Linked DNA regions of Rattus norvegicus. The protein of the gene in region 3 interacts with the protein of the main gene of each other region in a biochemical or structural test. Links are inferred from orthologs where the notes say so. Each region holds a gene or a part of one and is shown on either strand. Other genes may lie near its edges.

Evidence for each region.
Region 1: of the proteins of Atm (region 3) and Rpa2, one has a biochemical effect on the other in vitro, tested with the Homo sapiens proteins (3 studies listed by BioGRID). The link is inferred for Rattus norvegicus from reciprocal best matches to the Homo sapiens genes ATM and RPA2.
Region 2: of the proteins of Atm (region 3) and Eif4ebp1, one has a biochemical effect on the other in vitro, tested with the Homo sapiens proteins (2 studies listed by BioGRID, with this or other methods). The link is inferred for Rattus norvegicus from reciprocal best matches to the Homo sapiens genes ATM and EIF4EBP1.

Annotation. Positions count from the first base shown.
Region 1 is NC_086023.1:150,259,448-150,263,581, forward strand, and holds the start of Rpa2 (replication protein A 32 kDa subunit), read left to right. Parts: upstream 1-1,324; 5' UTR 1,325-1,409; coding exon 1,410-1,419; intron 1,420-1,616; coding exon 1,617-1,723; intron 1,724-1,815; coding exon of another isoform or gene 1,816-2,049; intron 2,050-3,338; coding exon 3,339-3,440; intron 3,441-4,134. UniProt on the Homo sapiens protein: As part of the heterotrimeric replication protein A complex (RPA/RP-A), binds and stabilizes single-stranded DNA intermediates that form during DNA replication or upon DNA stress.
Region 2 is NC_086034.1:71,494,826-71,498,860, forward strand, and holds the end of Eif4ebp1 (eukaryotic translation initiation factor 4E-binding protein 1), read right to left. Parts: intron 2,676-4,035; coding exon 2,496-2,675; intron 1,104-2,495; coding exon 1,072-1,103; 3' UTR 632-1,071; downstream 1-631. UniProt on the Homo sapiens protein: Repressor of translation initiation that regulates EIF4E activity by preventing its assembly into the eIF4F complex: hypophosphorylated form competes with EIF4G1/EIF4G3 and strongly binds to EIF4E, leading to repress translation.
Region 3 is NC_086026.1:62,752,031-62,755,676, reverse strand, and holds part of Atm (serine-protein kinase ATM), read left to right. Parts: intron 1-69; coding exon 70-158; intron 159-249; coding exon 250-352; intron 353-1,023; coding exon 1,024-1,172; intron 1,173-2,640; coding exon 2,641-2,745; intron 2,746-3,646.

The DNA.
Region 1 (4,134 bases), on a different chromosome or scaffold from region 3:
AGGTAGCCATGTCTAACAAAATAAAGCTTGTTTAATTTCACCAAGAGAAAAAAAAAGAGCTAACGCTCTTTACACTCCTTCAGTGGGATTAACAGTTGAGTCTCTCCTTATACTCTGCAGGTCTCTGGGGTCAACCTCAGGTAACCTGGCTTGCTGAGCCATCTTGCTGGCCTCCATGAGGTTTCTTATAGGAGCAACAATCTTGGAAACGATCTGTGACTCTACAGGAAAAATTTCATTTCTTTTATTTCATTTTTTAAAAGATTTATTCATTTATTATATATAAGTACACTGTAGCTGTCTTCAGATACACCAGAATAGGGCATCGGATCTCTTTACAGATGGTTGTGAGCCACCATGTGGTTGCTGGGAATAGAACTCAGGTCCTCGGGAAGAGTAGTCGGGCGCTCTTAACCGCTGAGCCATCTCTCCAGCCCCTATTTCATTTTTTAAGACAGGGTTTCATCATGTAGCACCGGCTAGCCTGGAATTTGCTATGCAGACCAGGAGGCCTCGAACTCATGGAGATCCTCCTGCTTCTGCCAGAGTTCTGAGAGTAAGTCGTTATACTTGGAGATTTTAATTTCTTATAGAAAATAAGTAATCCCACGATGACCTGTGAGACTAGTACTGAGTCAGAGTCAGTCTCTCTCTCTCTCTCTCTCTCTCTCTCTCTCTCTCTCTCTCTTTATTTAATGTACAGTTCACTGTCGCTGTCCTCAGACACACCAGAAGAGGGCATCAGATCTCCTTACAGATGGTTGTGAGCCACCATGTGGTTGCTGGGAATTGAACTCAGGACCTCTGGAAGAGCAGTCAGTGCTCTTAACCGCTGAGCCATCTCTCCAGCCCCCAGTACTGAGTCTCTTAAGTTTGCAAATGGCATGCCACAACCGAGCACCAACGTCGAAAGTGTGACTTCTACCACAGCTCCTGAGATTCAGCTTTGAAGGCAAACTCGCAGTTTGGCGGGAATGGGGGGCGAGGGGTTAGCTAGCGAGCGGCGGAAGTGACGTAAGGAGTTGCGCACTCGCCGGGGATGGGGGGGTGAGGAGAACTTTTGGTTGGCCCAGGAAGTATTGTTTTGATTGGTTGTTTTCTTGAATACTGTCCTGTCAGGAATTCGCCCTCAGTAAAGATGGCCGCGCGGGCTTCCATTTCTTCTTGGGGCCGTGTGTTTTTCTTAAGCTTGGCCTTGATACCGGAAAAAGTGAGATTCGTGAGTTCTGATTGGCTAAAGGTAGATGTGTCCCAGGCGCTGATTAGCTGGCTCTTCGCGGGAAGGAATTTGTGGCGCCAGTGCAAAGTAGCTACAACGCCGCCACGCCGGAGCGGCAAACACTTCTTAAGTCTTCTTATTTTCCGAGTCCAAACTTCTTGGCCTCTTTCTCAGGAAAACTGCGACCAGGATGTGGAATAGTAATGGCGGGCATACGGGAGAGAAGGCAGAGAGTCGCGCGTGGGAGGGCAGGGCGGGAGCGAGAGGCCGGAGGCCGGGGCGGTGGCATTTGAGGGCTGGGAGGGGGGTTGTGGTGGCTGGGGCGGTGGGGACAGCGTTTGCCAGGTACAGAGTTGGGGAGCGCCGTGCAGATTCTGACTCTGTCGTTCACTACCAGGCGGATTCGAAAGCTTCAGCAGCTCCTCCTATGGCGCAGCGGGCGGCTACACGCAGTCCCCCGGTGGCTTCGGGTCACCCACACCGTCGCAGGCAGAGAAGAAATCAGTACGTAGAGTGACCCGCTCTGTTCTCATTTGTGTCCTCCTGTCCCGAAGGTCCTCACTGGTCCAGGAGGGAACGTGGTTTTGCGGGGGAGGATGGCACCCCAATTGGTTCGGAAGCTGTGGGTTGCCTACTTTTTCTCTTGTCTGGTCAACTGGGTAACCGTTTTCTCTAAGTGTTTGGCAAGCGTGCTGTGGTTGGCCCGGCCTCCACTTTCCTGCCCTACCGCTCAGAAAGTATGCTTTTGCAGAGTTAAATGTCGCGGTGCCCATCCACAGCTGGGACTACTAAAAAGCCTAAAGAACAAGAGTCCACTGTGTTCAGAACAGGTTTGGGGTTCATTCCTGTTGGAATTTGACAGGAAGAACGTAGTCATTGTATGACCAAGTGTTTGGGGGATGTTTGTTTGAGACAGGCTTACAGTGTAGCTCTGGCTGGCCTGGAACTCAGATATCCACCTGCCTCTCTACCTCTGGGGCTGGGACTAAAGATGTATGGCCACCAGGCTCATCATAGTGTTAGGGGTAGGGAGCAAGCAGTCTCTAAGGCTTACTGAGTAATTGCCCTTAACTTGTGGTTAACTGTTCTTTACCTTTTTTTTTTTTTTTTTTTTTTTTTTTTTTTTTTTTTTTTTTTTGAATCGGATGTACCTCTGTTGCCTAGGCTGATAGGGCTGAGGTGATTCTCCTGCCTTTCTGCCTCAGTTTCCCTGATAGTTGGGAAACGTTCTGGTGTTTGAAATTACCAGTAAACATTCTGAGATCCCAAATAAGGGGCTTCTTTCCATAATGTATCAGGATGTGGTCTTTTGTTTACATTAGTACTCTGCTTAAGCAGAGATAGTGTTGAGTTAAAGGCTTATCTTTTGTGCCGTTTCATTCGTTTTGTTTTTGAGACAAGTTTTTACTACCCATTTGTGTGTTGCCTGGAACCTGCTGTGTGTAGACCATTAATTTGTGGTGACCCTACTACCTGTCTCTCCTGACTGTAGGGATTACGTCAAGGACTACACAGGTTGCCTGTTGCCTCTGTGGTGTCCTGAACACTTTGCTCTTGCTGTATCTGGGATTTGCTCTTGCTATCCTCACTTCTCTAAGACAGAGGGGGGTGCGTGTGTGCGTGTGTGTCTATCCCTGGTTGTCCTGGAACTTACTCTGTCGACCAAGCTGGCCTTGGTCCACCTGCCTCTGCCTCCTGGGTGCTGAGATTAAAGCCATGGGCCACCACTGTCTAGCCCTGGGATGTGCTCTTGAAGGTTTGTTCTAAAGGCAGGCTTTCCTGTGTTGTCCTGACTCTAGTCTGACCTTTTCTTTGTGAACCCACAATATGATACAAACATCTCTCCACCTGGAGGTCTAGTATCAGATCAGTGTAGATGTGAATTCAAAAGTGTGGCATTTGCCATGTGTAGCAAACACTGTGAACCCTAGCACTTAAGGGGAGAGGCAGAGGAGTCAAATGTTAACTTTCTGGCCTTGTTTTCTGTCTCTTTGAAGCAAGGAGAACTTGGTTTGAAGTTTCTGGATTGTGGTATATACAGAGTGCTTGGCACATGGAGACCCTCGGTGAATGGTTGTTACTCTCTCAGGTTGACGTGATGCGTCCTTTCTCTTTGCAGAGAGCCCGAGCCCAGCACATTGTGCCCTGTACCATATCTCAGCTGCTCTCTGCTACTCTGACTGATGAGGTGTTCAAAATTGGGGATGTCGAGATTTCACAGGTATGTGAGATTTTGTGGAAGGACTGTGCAGGAATAGGATATAAGGGGTGGAAAGATGGTGGGGCCAGCATGAGCACTAGACCTCAGATCCATGTCCATGTACAAAGCCAGGAGTGATTACAAAACTGTAGGGTCAGAGACAGGAAGATCCTTGGGGCTTGCTGGCTCCAGGTTCAGAGAGAGACTCTGTCTCAAGGGAATAAAATCAATAGTGCTAGACCCGGTGGCCCAATGTCCTCTGGCCTCTGCAGAGGCATTCATTGCACATCTGTCTGCTCATTTGTGCACACCATTCATATGCATTCACGCAAGGAAAAGGAATTAAGACTTGCTTAATCGAAAAGTAGATAGCTAGTAACGTGCTCTATGGGTAGAAATGAATGCTTGGGCCTTTTGCACAAGCCTGATGACCTGAGTTCAGTCTCCACATTCTACACTGGAAAAAGAACTACATCCTCAGACCTCTGGATCATGGCACACATACGCACAATGGTAATATAACAATATTTTCTGAAAAGTATTTTTTAAAGCTGGGCAGTGGTGGCTCACACCTTTAATCCCATCCCTAGGGAGGCAGAGACAAGTGGACCTCTGAGCTCCAGGCCAGCTTGATCTGTATAGTTCCAGGATAGCCAGGCCTACACATTGAAACCCTGTCTCTTTAAAAAAAAAGTGTATGAAGGCATTCTTCCGT
Region 2 (4,035 bases), on a different chromosome or scaffold from region 3:
ACCTGCCACACCAGTCTCAGTCTAGCAGTCAAGACTCAGAAAAATGGCTCTTTCTTTACCAACTGGTAAAGTCACGTTCATACACAGAAGTACCTGCTGTGCCCATAAAGGAGCCCGTGACATCCCACCCTTCCTCATCCCGGCTCCCCAAGACCATCTGATGTTTGTAACACTGGGTGTCTGCCTCCTCTCATTCCCAGCTACACCACGTCCTCCAAGCTCCACCCCCCCAACCCCCCACCCCCAACTCATCTGACATGGACCACTGATAACCAGTCCTATACAATCTACCTCATGCTACCTTTTTTAATGGGTACATGATACACCCCAGTAAAATCCTTACTCCTCTGCACCCACCATGGCAGCACACAGAGAGATGACGACAAAGACCGCATGCGCGCACGTGGACCAAAGGCTCTACACTGGCGCAGGCTCAGGGAAAAGGTGACCACCTCGCTGGACAAAGGTAATACTTGCAACTAAAAAAAGTAACAGAGCAGCAGACCTCAGCCGTAAAAATGACAGTAAGGCGTGCTCTGCTGACCCAGAGGGCTGGTATAACAATTGCATAAGACAATGTAAAGGAAAAATACACCATAACACTGAACACAGAGTAAACGGTGTCATCATATCAACTTGGAAACAGTTCAGACAGGGCCCGGCTGTGGGCCTAGGGTAAATGTGGCTTTTATTTCCTCTCAGGGAAAGAAGTAAAGGGTGGCTTTCCCAGGTACCCCAACCTAAGGTAAGGTGGGTGTGCTCCAGAGGTTGGGGCTAGAATTGCCAGATCATTCCGACAGACTCCTCTGTGTCCACTCGCTGGCGCTTGATGCAGGGAGGGTGTAGGTGAGAGTCATTACCCTGGAGTAGCAGCTCAGTATCAACAGAGGCACAAGGAGGTATGTGCTGGTATTCACAAAATGGAAGGCAGAGCAGGTGCCCTGAGTGAGGAGCAGGACTGGGTGGCCGATCCACACCCAGTGTCTGCCGGGTACAAGGCCTGACTGCTGTGGCTCTCCTCCCAAGGGCCCCAGGGGCCCAGAAGCATCACTGCGTCCTATGGCTGGTCCCTTAAATGTCCATCTCAAACTGTGACTCTTCACCTGCAGAGAGAGGAGACAGACAGCCAATAAACAAGTAGCAAACGGAAGCACTCCAGGCTTAGAGGCCAGAGAGAAGACGTCGTCTTTGTTAGTCTCATAGGTCAGGTGGAAGCGAGAGCTGCTGCCAAAGAGAAACAAGAGAAGTTGACTAGGCTAGGAGAGGAGCTTCCTCATAAGCGCGGCGGTGACAGTGCTGAATTTTCTATAAATCCGATTTTTAGTACGTGGCCTAAGGGGTGGAGCTTTGTGTCCTGTGTCCAGTTAAGGAAATTTAAAAGTACACCTACATCACCACCACTACCACCACCTAACTCTATAGAGGGCAACCAAGCCATTGTTCAGGGTTGAGAGGTAATATACCATCAGAAACTAGGAGTGGCAGGTGCAAGAGTAAATGGCAGTCTTCAGTTAACGGTGACAATTTCAGGTGTCGCCTAACTTCATCCTCTGTCATCTTTGGCTTGGGGTGAGAAGGTAAAGGTGAGAGGTTCTGTGCAATGACTGGGGAAATCACTCCACCCTTGAACATGTGGCAGGGACCCACACGTGTAGCCTGGTAACCACTTGTCATGCTGCTCTCCGCAGGCAGTCAAATCCACCTTCCTACTGCTATCTACTTCCCTCCACCCCCACCCCGCCCCAGTCCATCTCAGTCTAAATGTTGTCTGTCTTGGGCTGCTGGGCTGCCAGGGTAAATAGGAATCCTATCCTACAGAGCCATGGGGTGTCAGCAACTCCCTGTCTGAGCCTGCTGCTCTGCCTTTAGGGTAGGGAGTCAGAAGTGGTCCCGTGACTGCAGGGATGTGGACAAGCTTGCGAAACACGGTCCCACACCAGAGAGTTCACACTGACTGCCAGGGTGGCCGCTTTGATTGTTTTCGGGAGGAGGGGGGCACCAGGAAGGACCTAGATATAAATGTCAGCGCTTCTGTGACAATAGGAGGCATTGTCTGCCTGTCCTCATCAATAATCCACTTAATGACCAGTAACCCTGCCAGGAGGTACCTGGATTTACTTTTTATCTTGTAGACGTGTAATTTCCTAGAGGGGAAGTACGCCGTGTCTTTGATAAGCTGTCTCCTTGCATCAAGAGTATCACTGCTGTGTTCCACTAATATAGAGAGGCGGGATGATGAAAGGCGCTGGGTAAAGCCTACGTCACTTAAATCAGCTCCTTAATGACCTGACGCATAAGATCCTTGAGGGCTTTGGAGCTTTGTAGGGGGCAAGCTGGCACCAATAAGAGTTCCAGTTCCCATTCATCCCCCACCCTCTGGTCTCATCACAGCTGCCCCTCAAAGGGTGGATGGTCACCATCACCCTCACCCCGAAACGTGGAATTCCTAAGAACAGACAATCCCCCTCCCAGTTCAGGGCCTGGACAGGACTCACCACCTGCCCGCTTATCTTCCGGGCTGCTGTGCAGATGGCTCTGGCTGGCCTGCATGGGAGGCTCATCGCTGGTAGGGCTAGTGACCCCTGGAATGGTTGGCAGGTCCTTTGGGGGTGTTTTGGCCACAGGCGAGTTCCGACACTCCATCAGGAATTTCCGGTCATAGATGATTCTGGTTCCTGGTGAGAAAGGTGTGATAAGGGAGTTGGTAAGGACTCCTGGAACCCCTTTGCCTGTTGCTTTTCCCGCTTCCTGTGAAGAAGCAGTCACAGCAGAGGCGGCAGTTTCCTTCATACAATCTGGACCAAAAGGGGAGTCAGGCTGACCAAGGGTCCTGCCAACCTGACCACATCTCTGCTCCACTGCCTACCCTCCAACACCATTTGGGGAGCCTCTCCCCAGTAGAGTGCTTGCTGGCCACCAAGATGCATCTTTGTTTTCTCAGAGAACACCCTATGCTATATAGTCTCTCGACCTCCCACCCCTCAATCCTCCCTGTCAGTTACACATGACAAGCACAGCACACAGAAAAGGTGGTCACCCCTGTCAAGGCACCATTCCATCCCACAGGACTCCAGCAGGTCGATCATTTACAACAGAAAGACAATGGGTCCCTCCCTGCAGAGACTTTTCCCTGCCAGGTCTTTGCAGAAAGAGGAAACGCTCTATCCAATCCAGAAAGGACTTAGGCTGAGCCTTTCTCCAAACCTCAGTACATCGACCTGCCTGCATCACTCTTGAAGGGCAGGCAGGGACGCCAGTCCCATTCTACCCGACCTCCTATCACAAGTTAGTCTCATTCCCCGGGGTAGGGGTCAGTCTCAGTGCGCTGTTCTCTAGCGGTAAACCACACTCAGGATCCTCCGCCCAGGCAGCCGCCTGAACACCACCATATAAAGGAACGTTTCCCAAGGTGAGGGAGCACGATCACTGTGGGAGACCCGTGAGGTGTCGGTGAGTGGATGAACTTATCCACAGTCTCCCGGGGCCTCTAACACAGCAGCACTGGTGGTCTATTTTTAACCCTTCGACTTCCTGATCACTTTCTTCCCAGCACATCTCCAGCAGACAATGGTATCCAGCTGGAATTTAAAAACTGTCTTTGCCTTACTATTTATAGTTAGTTTACCCTCGGCCGATGACAAGTCTGCTTCCTCGTACGCAATGGCGGTAGCCAGCTTCCTTCTGGGACTACACACCATTAGTTACATATTATATAATGTTATATACCAGGCGTAAAGAAAATAAATTAAGGGCTGGCTAGGTGGCTCAGCTGGCAAAGGCACCTACCTGTCACCAAACCTGGTGTCCTGAGCCCAAAACCAGAAACCTGCACGCAGAAGAGAATCAATTCTCACAAGATGTCTTCTGACCTCCATATGCATGGTGTGGTGGTACGCAGGCACCCACGCCTATACCCATTCTTATTCATATTCTCTTCCTCTCTCTCTTCCTCTCTCTCTTCCTCTCTTCCTCTCTCTCTCTCTCTCTCTCACACACACACACACACACACACACACACACACACCTCCTTTCGTT
Region 3 (3,646 bases):
TTAAAGCTTACAAAACTCATGAACTGATTTTTATTTTCAAGTGTCCGCCTTTGGTATTTTTCTTTTCAGGATCTTCTCTTGGAGATCTACAGAAGTATAGGAGAGCCAGACAGCCTGTATGGCTGCGGGGGAGGGAAAGTGTTACAACCCCTTACCCGGTAAGTTGCACCTTTCAGATAGTGATTCTGCCTTTCGAAGGAGCTCCATGCGCACAGAAACAAAAGATGTTTTCACCGTCATCTCTTACAGAATAAGGACGTACGAGCATGAAGCAACGTGGGAGAAAGCCTTAGTGACATACGACCTTGAGACCACCATCTCCTCCTCCACCCGCCAGTCGGGAATCATCCAGGTACACTGCCATCCGTGCCTGCTTCCGTAAAGCTGTCGTCAGTGGAGTTAGGCTGTCAGACATTAGGCCAGCACCTCAGTACACATTGGAAAGCTGCACAGGTCACTGTAGTTTGTTGATAATACTTTTATTACCCAACAGCAGAAGACACTTCTGGAGTGTGTACAGTATGCCTGCCAGGAGACACTCGTAGTGCTTCACATGGCACTAGTTTGCTTTAGAGTTGGTCCAGGAAACTGTCCTATCTTTTACTATAATAGGCTTAGGTATCTTTCCACCAAACATTAACATTCTCTGAGGAGAAATATACACGCTAAGCAATATTTTAGAGTTTTAAGTGATACTGTTAATTAAAATTTTTGAAATTAAAATTTGGGGGTGGGGGCTGGGTTTCTCGCTAGTTCAATGGTTCTCAACCTGTGGTCGCGACCCCCTTTGTGGGCTGGCTGACCTTTTCACAGAAGTCACATGCAAGATATTTAAATTACGATTCATAACAGCAGCAAAATTGCAGTTATGAAGTAGCAGTGAAAATGACTTTATGGTTCGGGGTCACCATAGCATTAAGAATTGTACTAAAGGGTCTCAGGATTAGGAAAGGCTGAGACCACTGGTCTACTCTATCCTGACGTATTTGATCATGTATTCATTTTGTGATAACTTCCTTTCAGGCCTTGCAGAACTTGGGGCTCTCCCATATTCTTTCTATCTACTTGAAAGGATTGGACCATGAAAGGAGAGAGTGGTGTGGGGAACTGCAGGAGCTTCATTACCAGGCGGCGTGGAGGAACATGCAGTGGGACCTCTGCACTTCTGCCAAGTGAGAGCAAACCAGCCTCTCCCCACTGCTTCTATCTGACCCTGAAACTGTGCATTTGGTTGTTTTCTCTATGAGTGCTGCTGGCTTTTGTTTTTTAATATATTGTACAGACACTATGGGCCGCACATATGACTAAATATTTAGTATACAATAGGCAGCTAGCACAATGAAGGTTGAATTTCATTCTTATTTTTTTCCACCAGAGAAATTCTATCCCCTGCTTCAAGTGTTTTGTAGATAGAAATTTTTAAAAATGCCTTTTCCTGTGAAAATATTGATTGTTGAATTGAGGAATCTAAAGACAAGTGTAGGCCTTCTCCCTACCACTTCTTGCTACATTGTAGTCAAAAGCATTTCTATTGGCTGGGTGATAAAATCAGTTACCTTTGTTAATGTTTTGTGGTGGTGGTTGTCGTTGCTGCTGTTAAAAAGTAGTGCTAGGCCAGGAGCAGTGGTGCACTGGGAGTCACAGGCAGGTGGATCTCTGGTTCGATGCCAGCCATGACTACATAGTGAGTACTAAGCCAGCCAGGGCTACCACAAACAGATAACCAGGCAGTTTATAAAGTACTGCCAAACCAAGTTACCCAAGAAGATAAAAGTTGTAGCCTGTATTTCAAATCATTGTATTTTTTAAATGAAAACCAAAACACCTAGACTACTAAAGGATTTAATAGTTACATAAAAAAGTCTGATAGAATGCTAAAAAATTAAGTCATTTTAATTACTTTAATGGAAAAATGTTTTCATAAATTGGAGTGTTTATCAAATTTCATGTTAGGAGTGGTATAAAAAGCGGATTTATTCATATGTAGGTGAATTTTCTGTGTTTGTTTTGAGACAGTTTCTCTGTGTAACCCTGGCTGTCCCGGAATTCGCTCTGTAGACCAGAAGATCCTACTTCTGCCTCCTGAGTGCTGGCACCAAAGGCTCGCGCCACCACCACTCAACTGCTCTCATTTTAAATATTTATTTTAAATGTAAAATTGAGAACCAACTAGAATTTCTAAGTTTTTGGTTTTTTTTTTAAAGAATTTAAATGACCTGTAAAATGCTTTCCTCTTCTCACTGCCTTTTACTGCTTTGGCTTGTTTGTTTTTTTTCTCTTTGTTTATATATATATTTTTTTTTTTTGGTTCTTTTTTGCGGAGCTGAGGACCGAACCCAGGGCCTTGCGCTTCCTAGGCAAGCGCTCTACCACTGAGCTAAATCCCCAACCCCCTTTGTTTATATTTTGAGTTAGGATTTTACCATGTGACTGTGGCTGGCCTTGAGCTCACTAAGATCCACCTCTCTCTGCCTACCAATTAAAGGCATATGCCGCTGCACCAGCTACATATTTTTCTTAATCTCTGCAAACTTTTATGAGAAATCTTAATTTTAGTTCTCAACATTGTTCTTTGAGTTAGTTATAGATGCATATCTCAGAGTTTTCCATTTTTAAATTTGTTTTTTAATCATCTCGCAGCCAAGAACTAGAAGGAACCAGTTACCACGAATCGTTGTATAATGCTCTGCAGTGCCTAAGAAACAGAGAATTCTCCACATTTTATGACAGTCTCCGACATGCCAGGTATTATAAAAAAGACAGATTGTTTTTATATTTGATGCTGTGGCTGCTATCCTCAAAATGTGAGTAGATTTAAATAAGAATTTGCGTCAGTGAAGGGATAAGACTTGGTGGCTGAGTTCAAGCGTTTCTTTGTCGTTCTTTGCTCTCAAGAAAGATTTTCTTGAGGACCTACGTCAGTTCTTCAGTCTGCGCCCTCTGGAAAAGCATGATAGTATTCTCTTTTGTACACGTGTCCTGGAAGAGTTAACCTTTGTCCTTTCTAGTTTCATGGCCTTCACTCTCTTACCATCATAGCTCTGCTTTGTAAGCTTGGTTTCTCTGAGGCATACATGGTGTAGCAATTAGCTGTAACAAGTTAAACAAACATGAATTTTTTTTAAGGTTTATTTATTTTTATATGCAGTGCTGTTTTTGCCTACGTATACGTCTGTGATCCCTTGGGACTGAAGTTACAGATAGTTGTGAGCTGCCATGTAGGTGCTAGGAATTGAACCCTGGTTAAGAGCAGCCAGTGCGCCTAACCACTGAGCCATCTCTCTACCCCCAAACATGAATATTTTAAACACTCGCCACTGACATCATAAATCCTATACATGTTGTTTGGTTATTGTTTGGTTTTAGACCCCAGAACAGGGGACTGAGGTGCATATTTTACACATCAAAGCAGACGTGGCCTCCTTGTTCTCCCAGCATCCCTCAGTCCCTGCCTGGTATACCTTGCCCCCAATCCTGAACTTTCCAGTCTAGGGGCTGGGCTGCCCTTCCCCAGAGGGTCTTCCCTATGTAATCCGGACATTTTGGTCTTTTTCTTTTTTCCTCCTCTTCACTCTCTGCGTATATGTCCCTCTCTCCCTCTCTCCCTCTCTCCTTCTCTCATTCTCTCCCTCCCTCCCTCTCTCCC